2 linked regions of the Drosophila melanogaster genome follow. The protein of the gene in region 1 interacts with the protein of each later gene in a pairwise test. Each region holds a gene or a part of one and is shown in the gene's direction. Other genes may lie near its edges. The genes, in order: Nep7 and RpL22-like.

Region 1 (4,795 bases):
CACATCCTAGCCTTCGCCTAACTCACTGCTGTGATGGACTGTGCGATCGCTTAATGCGGTTGCTCTGCTGCGAGGAACTGGGGCTGCTGGAAGAAGCCTTATCCTTTTCGCCTCCTTGGGAAATGGACCTGCGCTCGCTCTTGATCTTGGTTGGTTGGCTGGCCGTGGTGGAGCTCTTGTCATCCTCGTTGTCGGCGTCAATGTGCTTGGGCTTCGATTGTGTGCTGGAGGGGAAACATGCAGTGGAGAAAACATTAAAATGCATTCAACTTCGGTACATAAAATGTGAAAGGTGCAAAGGTGGTTCATAGCTATTGGGATCAAAAACCACACAATCCAAGCCTATGGAGTATTTGGGACTAATTAATAGGGTTTCCTACCCCGCTTTTGGCTTGGATCCTGAGTTTGCTACGCGGATCTTGCGGGATGTGGGTCTGGTGCCATTTGTTTCTGCTTCCGTGGCAAGCTCGCGCTTGGCGGGAATGACGTCCACAATGGTGGTGTCCTCTTGTGTTATGTACTGCAGCTGTAGGTCCAGGCAGAGATCCTTGGAGCTGGACTCCGTACCGGCCAGAAGAGCGACCGTTGCAGGATGCGACTTATTGGTCGCCTGGACGCGCACGATGATGTGATCGATAATGAGCTCGGTGTCCAGTTGGTAGGCATCCTGCCACTGCTTCAGGTTCTCGAACAGGCGCCATAGACCACACTCAATCCGGCTCCACCGATCCGCGGTCATCCAATGGAAATCATTCTTGGATTCCCGCTCAAAATGGGTCACAGGTGTCGGCAGAACTTTGACGCTGCAGATGACGCGGTGCTTCTTGTACTGAAATGGGAGCTGCTTTAGGACATGGCGGATCACACATCTCAGTGGCTTTTACCTGGTATAATTGCGAAATTAGTTGGCAATCACCGATGGCGGAAAATGACATTTTTATAAAATTGCTATGCGTCCTGATGTGACCGTAGCCGCTGACAGGCACAGCAACAACAATTCGGGGCGGATCTTTGGGCACACTACGAGCGCTTTGGTGGTCTATCGATTGTATTTTTTTATCGACGTTTGGGCGGCAAAAAAGTATCAACTTAAGCTGAATTCAATTCATAAATATTCATTATCTGGAGAAAACTGCAAAATGTTTTTTTGGAACGTGACAAGAAATACTTTTACGTTTTACCACAGAGATCTCTATAGAAAGTATAAAAATAGTAATTATGCATAATGAACATATTAAGAATCCACCTGATATATGCATTTATTTATAAAAAAAAACAACAAAGATAAAAAAGTGTTAAGTGTTAATTAGGACAAAAGTTCAGAACGTGTTCACAATGTGCAATCGTGTGACACAAGTGACGATGAGATTTTGAAACCAAAACTGAGAATTGTTTTTACTCTGAATGAATGAGGGGCGCTATCAATGAATCTCCCAGAACTTACAAATCCTTATCAACAGAAGCGTGTGGCTTAGGTCAAGTCTCGCCAAGAGAACAGCCGGACTACACAGTGCAGCAAAATCGTTCCCATTCTGCGAAAGTGGTTACCTAAAAACTAAGTTGGCTAGAGAGATAGCTTGGATGCCCATGACCTCCTCCTTATTATTCAAAGCAGTGGCTTAGAATGCGCACCAAAGATGGTGAAAGTGTGCGGAACGACGTCATAGTAATATAATTCATTATAATCTCTGTTGTCCAGTGCTGCTGGTCAACATGATTGCGAAAAAAAAGCACACGCCGATGGGATCGGAGAGATGCTGCTGCTTGCTCAGTTCTCAATCGCGTTCCGGATTAGGTAGTCGAGCTTGTTGGGTTTTTCAAATAATCCGGGTCGATCGATCACTGGCCGCACTACTTTATTATATTATACAAACTGCGTGTGTGCCCTGCGAATCGGACCAATATGCTCTCAATCTCGAGCTACTTTCGACTGCCCCTATACACGCGGCTGGCAGTTTGCATCCTGATCTGCGTGATTTTGAATGACTGCGAGGCCAGGAGTATTGGCGACGAGTCCCATGAGAACGCGATTACGGATGAGACGGCCGACTACCTGCGATCCCATGGCGCCATGATGAAGTCCTATATGAACTTCAGCGTCGATCCGTGCGACGACTTCTACGAGTTCGCGTGCGGCAACTGGAAGAACGTGAAAACGCCGCGGCAATCGCCCCATAGGCGGAGCAATATTCTGGACATCAGCTACACACTGATGGACGTGACGGAGCAGCTGCTGACCAGGACAAAGTTGGCGGAGGCACTGAACGTGTCCGCCGAGCTGCTCGTTGCACAACGCTTCTACAATTCCTGCCTGGCGGCCGAGCTCTTTCCGCGGCCCGCTGCCGATCCCGCTTATCTATCGGTTATCAGGTCGCTGGGTGGTTTTCCCGCCGTCGACAGAGACGCCTGGAACGCCTCCAGCTTCAGTTGGTTCAACATGAGCGCCCATCTCAGCAACTACGGCGTTCGCAGTTTGATCCACGAAGAAATTCTGCCGCAGCATCCCTTCAATCCGTACTTCAAGCTACCCGAACTGGGCTTTGACCATGTCGTCCACACCGCTCACGTTGCCAATACGAGCTCGCGGGCCTACCAGCTCAACGAGCATCGCATGCGTGGCTACCTGAAGGAATACAATCTCACGAAGGATGAAATCTCTGCCGTGATCGAAGGCGTCTTTGCTTTTTGGAGCGAGGCGCTCAGTATTGAGGATAAGTTCGAGAGCGATAGGGATAAGTGCGATTTGCTCAGTGAGATTGAGGAGGTGCCGCGATTTGGTCAGTGGAGGAGCTACTACGAGATAGCCTGGAATGGTATAGACTTTTACAACGGCTCGTCCGGTGGCGAATTCTGCGACTTTTACTATGTGGAGCTCGACAAGGTGTGCGCCAAGCATACGGAGGCGGTGGCCAATTATCTAGCCATGCGGTTTCTCTACCGCATGGACGACAAGCTGAAGGAGCCCAAGCAGCCGGAGGACCAAAAGGTTAACTGCTTGATGATCGTCCAGATGACGCTGCCAAATCTGTTCAACAGGCTCTACATGGCGGTGAGTTGGATGCTGTGAATATGTGAAGCTTAGCTTTTCAATTGATATCAACTAACTTTCATAGGAGCACTTCACCGACGAGAAGCACTCGGAGATCTCTGACATGGTGACCGAAATGCGAAAGGCCCAGCGACAGATCCTCGAGAGTGTGGAGTGGTTGGACGCGGAGACGCGAGCAGAGGCTCTGAGCAAGGAGGCCGGCATCACGCCAGTAATCGGCAGTTACAAAAACGAAGAGCTGTCGGACACTCTAATCCGCGAGATCAACAATCTGACCATTGTTGAAGGCAGCTATGCCCAGAGTTTGATCAATCTGCGAGTATTGGGCACCTATCTTCATCGCTACGCTGGCTTACATGCGGACGAGCTGCCCAAGGACACAAAGCCACTGACACTGCTCGTGGGAATGCAGGTGAACGCCTTCTACTACAATCTGGATAACTCGGTGTACGTGATGGCGGGAGTACTGCATCCGCCTGCGTACCACCGTTCATGGCCCGATTCCTTGAAGTTCGGCACCATTGGCTATCTGATAGGTCACGAGTTGACCCACGGCTTCGATACGGAGGGCTCCAGTTTCGACAGCGCCGGCGAAGTACGCGACTGGTGGTCCAGGAAGTCGGAGGCGGTATTCCAGGAACGGGCGCAGTGCTATGTGGATTACTTCAACCAATACTTGATACCGGAAATCAACCAGACAATTCGCGGCAATGAGACAAGGGACGAGAACATAGCGGACGCCGGTGGCTTGAGGGCCGCACTCACCGGCTATCGAAACCACATGAAGCAGCTGCAACGAAGTGGAGCGGATGGGGAGACGTTGGCTCACAAAAACGAGCAGATGCCCGGCCTCGACCTGTCGCCGGAGCAGCTCTTCTTCGTGGGATTCGCGCAGCTGTGGTGCGCCGACTACGAGCCGGAGCACTACTGGGAGGAGCTCACTGGCGCACATACCGTCGATAAGTATCGGGTGCTGGGTGCCGTTTCCAACAACGACGATTTTGCTGAGGTCTACAAGTGCCCACTGGGCAGTCCAATGCATCCGAAGGCTGAGAGTTGTCGGATGTGGTGACCATAAGTCGTATATAAAGGAAAAGATGTAAAATACTCTAGATGTTCAACTACAAAATAAATGAAAACAGGAAAAATAATGCAAATCGACGATATAGTCTTACACATTTCTGCAATTGAGTTAACTCACTCGACTTTACCCATTTACTCTTAATAGTCTCTTTATTTCTAATTGGTTTTAATGAGCAACGTGCTCTGAGGATTTGAAGGCGTTGGGTCCCCGGTAATTCTCGACCAGCAGGGATTTGTAGCGCCTCAGGTGGACGCTGAGTCCTTCCTCGCGCTCGCTGACGGAGAGGATTGAGACGCGGGCCACGACCAGATGGGAAGGATTCGATTGACTAAAGCCTCGGATTACGTCGATTTCATCGCCGACTTCCAGCTGTAAATGGTAAATCATAAGATTGAATTCGATCTATATATGGACTCCATACCTGGGCACTCTTTTTGGGCAGCTTCTTTCCATTGACGCGTATCTTGCTCTCGTAGAAATTCAGTTCCACTTTGCTGTGGGAGGTAAGACATCATGGTTATTGGGGGCATTTAGAAAACCTTCGGCTGTTTCTTACTTTCTCGCCATGCCCAGGCCAGCTTTCAGTAGGAGATCGGCGCGCAGTGAGTTCACCTTGGTCTTGACCACCTTGGAGTCCCTTTCGTCCTTGAAATCCTCATCAT
Region 2 (3,716 bases), on another chromosome or scaffold:
ATTTTAAAAGCATTTTCCGCCCCTTCACTCTACATGACTGCCGTCTGGACTCCTCGCAAGATCGTGCTGCCTGCCTGCCCACCTGATGTCGAAGTGATCGATGTCCCTGGACAGCCGTTGCCATCCATAACGAGGCAAACTCCCAGGCCAAAGACGCCTCCGCACTGCCAATCCCATTTTCCGCTTTCCATCCGCCCATTTGCTACCGTTTAGCCAGATTGATTTCGGGCCAGAAGCCGCACGACTCCGCCGATCATTCCTCCCACTTTTCGCAGGGGGCGGAGGGCCGTCACGCCCACCGTTGCAGTTTTCCCATCGCCCAATCGCCAATGCCGGGCCCATCAATCAACTTCGAGTGCTCGCAGTGAGCGGGAGGTACTCCACTTGCTTCTACCTGCCTCCGAATCTCTGCATCTCCGAATCCGCGAGGAGGACGCGGCAAGAGGCTGCGCCTGGGAGCGCTTTTGGTTGTAAAAATCGTTTCGGCATCATTTTTCATATCCGCAACCGAAACAAAACCGCCAAAAAAAAAAAGAACCAAAACTACCAGAAAACAATATCCAGTCGGCGGCTGGGAAATCGAGTAGCATCCTAACTGCAGGAGCTTCATGCGGCGTTGGAAAAACAGTGGTACGTACCCGAAATACCCTAGGGTTGACTTCTCCAATCTCTATTGCGAGTATGGAAAGGTCATATAAATGTACCAAAGTCGCCCTAAATCTCACTCTTTTGGTTTCTTCTTTTATTATAAACAATTTAGGATGATCCAAAGTCCATTTGAATAGTAATACCCTCTGTTAGGGTATGAGAAGGTGGATAGATGGGCTTGGGTTATGTTTCGGTGGCCAGGGGTGCGTATACGTGATCGCTGCATTTCTTTGGACGTTCCGCGACGCTTTGTTTGCGCTGCCATCGACACCCCTGTCCCGCCCCTCCTGCCATCCTTTTTAAGCCTTGTTTGCTCTTGGCAGTGGCAAGCGAAAGAGACGGCTGCAACGAGACAGAAAGAGACAGCACGAGGGAGAAGGTTTCGATGTAGCGCGAATTTGTTGCAATTTCTCATTGTCAGCGAACGCGTTCGCCGGTAAGTTTTGATTAAACGCTCCGCGGGAATTCACTTTGGCTTGCACTTTTTGCTTTTGTTTTTATTTTTTATTTTTCCTGCCGATAGGAGGTGGCATCTCCCATCCACAATCCCAAATCCCAGTTGGTGGCCAACTCTTTCATTTGAATTTGATAAATGGCGCTCGTTGCAAAGCGATATGTTATGCAATTTAGGGATTTCCTTGTGGCTTAAAAAATATTGAAGCGATAGCTAAATGTTTGTACAACTCGGAAATAAATGAACTGGCCGACAAAGAGAGTGGAAGGTGATGACACTTTAAACAGGCTTTCGGAATTCAATTTGCCTAGCATTGGGAAAAGTTGAGCTATCTCTGTGGATTCATGTGGATTCCACTTTGGTAACTTATCTCGAACCTGTGTGCGCAAGTTTAAATCGATTTCGATCCACCACAATACCCTATAATAAAAGAGCTTAAAAGGGAGCTGGTATAATATGAAAACTACAAATTACTGAGGCCGAACTGGAGGCGAGACGACAAACAAGGCCAAATTGATCCCCGGCTGACAAGCGGTAATAATAATTTCGTGCCAATTAATCAGCGTTAAATCAGAGCGTCAACATCCCAACCTGCTCCACACTCATTTCTCGTGATTTCACTTAAAGATTTCCTGTTTTTTTTTCACAAACATGCCGCCCAAGATAATCGAATAATTGGCATTCGCATTCTACGTAAGCACAGTCGATTGTGAGCAAGGTCACACGGATCGCAAATGCAGTTACTTTCTGATTGTTGCTACACTTGGCCACTCTAATTCTTTTCCTGCCAAACTTCAACGGAGGAAGTCACGTGGTGTTTCTAAACCTATTTTTGATACTAATTTCTTTGGAGTAAGTTAATTGTTTCAAAATTTTAGGCGTGTGCTCATGTTTTGCCATATAGGAATGAGTTCCCAGACGCAGAAAAAGAATGCTTCCAAGGCCAAATCGAAGGCGGGCCCACAGCCGTCGAAGAAAGCCCCGGCTAAGGTGACTCCTGTAGAAACCGCCACCCCATCTGCGGCTCCGCCTTTGTCCTCTAAAAAGGTGGCCAAAGCTCCGGCCGTGGCACTAAAGAATCTCGATTTGGCCATGAAAGAATCGGCTAAGAAGGCCGCCGAAGCTGCTGACCAGAAGTTGGTCTCGAAGGCGAAGAAAGGCCAGAATGCTTCACGCAAGAACTTGATGCAAGTGCCGGAACCCGTTGCCCCTGAGGTGGACAATAAGAAAAAGTCTGCGCCTCCTAAACGTGGCAATGCGGAAATACCCACGGTTGTCCCCGCCAAAAAGGCCGCCCTGGTGCAAGAAAAGCCCAAGGAACAAGCTGCCGCAGCACCAAAAGCCGAAAATGTCGAGGTTCCAGCAGCCAAAGCTAAAAGTGTAAAAAAGAGCCTCGCCACTCCGGCAAATCCGAAGCCCAAGCCGAAACGCACGAAGAATGTTCTGCGTGGAAAAAGGCTGGCCAAAAAGAAGGCTTGGCAACGCTTTGTGATCGACTGCGCATGCGTGGCCGAGGATATGATCCTGGACCTCGCCGACTTCGAGCAGTATTTGAAGACCCACATCAAGATAAAGAACAAGCTCAACCAGCTGAAGGATCAGGTCACTTTCGAGCGCACCAAGAACTTCTCGCTGATCATCCACTCCGGTGTGCACTTCTCCAAGCGCTACTTCAAGTATCTGACCAAACGGTATTTGAAGAAGGTCAGCCTGCGTGATTGGTTGCGGGTAGTGTCCACGGCCAAGGACACCTTCGCCATGACCTACTTTAAGATTCAGGACAAGGACTTTGATGACGACGACGACGACGTTGCCGACGACAATGGCGGAAAAACCTTTGCCTAAAACAAAGATCGCATTTCGAAAACATGTATATCCCATGAAAGCTGTTCAAGTGTGTAGACTTCTTAAATTTCTCAGTATACTTCTGTTAAATTTCCCACTTGAAGTTTCACTAGTTCTCAATGTGGCTCATACAATTTTTGCTCATTTGCTTCAACATATTCAACGATGAAATATCAATAAAAAAAAAAAAAACCCTAACAAGAGTATATCATATATGTATGTATTCTCATCCGAAGCTGCAGAGTTCCCTTGAAGAACTTAAAGATTTCATTTTACGGTCAGTTAGGAGGAAGGAGCGGAGCGTTCCTCGGTCGAATCGACTTAAACTTGAACGATTGACATCTCGGAGAGGGCCTCGAGTGGCATTCGTCATGTTTTGATTGGGAGGAGCCAGTCTTGTTTTCCTTACCTTTTTACGCTTTTGTAAATACCTTAAATTGCCCCATTGGACGGGATTGTGTTCGATGCCAGGCGGCTTAATTGCTTCGCTGTGGGTCTGCCAAATGGACGAAACCATGGGTGGGGATCAGAGGGTGCTCCTCTGTCAGCAGTTGGCCCGGCCTGGCCGTAGGTGGTCCATAACGAGCTAATGAAATGCGAATCCAGCCAAAATGCGAACAGCGAGGCAGCCCAGTGGAGTGAGTCAGGCAGGCAGCTGTCAAAATCGAAATCAACCTGAGCACTCGCAGGTTGGCTTCTTTTCGACTTGGCCAAAAGAACACAAAGGCTGGGCAAAATATTCACGATTGCCGCCTGGAAGGGAATACAA

What was found.
Region 2: the proteins of Nep7 (region 1) and RpL22-like interact in a two-hybrid assay, tested with the Drosophila melanogaster proteins (one large-scale study listed by BioGRID).

The regions. Positions count from the first base shown.
Region 1 is NT_033777.3:27,953,118-27,957,912, forward strand, and holds Nep7 (neprilysin 7), read left to right. Parts: upstream 1-1,799; 5' UTR 1,800-1,903; coding exon 1,904-3,049; intron 3,050-3,113; coding exon 3,114-4,121; 3' UTR 4,122-4,209; downstream 4,210-4,795. Other genes in the region: CG4951 (uncharacterized protein), read right to left, coding at 27-224, 381-829, 885-935; CG4884 (uncharacterized protein), read right to left, coding at 4,299-4,502, 4,555-4,627, 4,690-4,795.
Region 2 is NT_033778.4:23,246,016-23,249,731, reverse strand, and holds RpL22-like (ribosomal protein L22-like), read left to right. Parts: upstream 1-1,838; 5' UTR 1,839-1,954; intron 1,955-2,006; 5' UTR 2,007-2,008; coding exon 2,009-2,947; 3' UTR 2,948-3,122; downstream 3,123-3,716.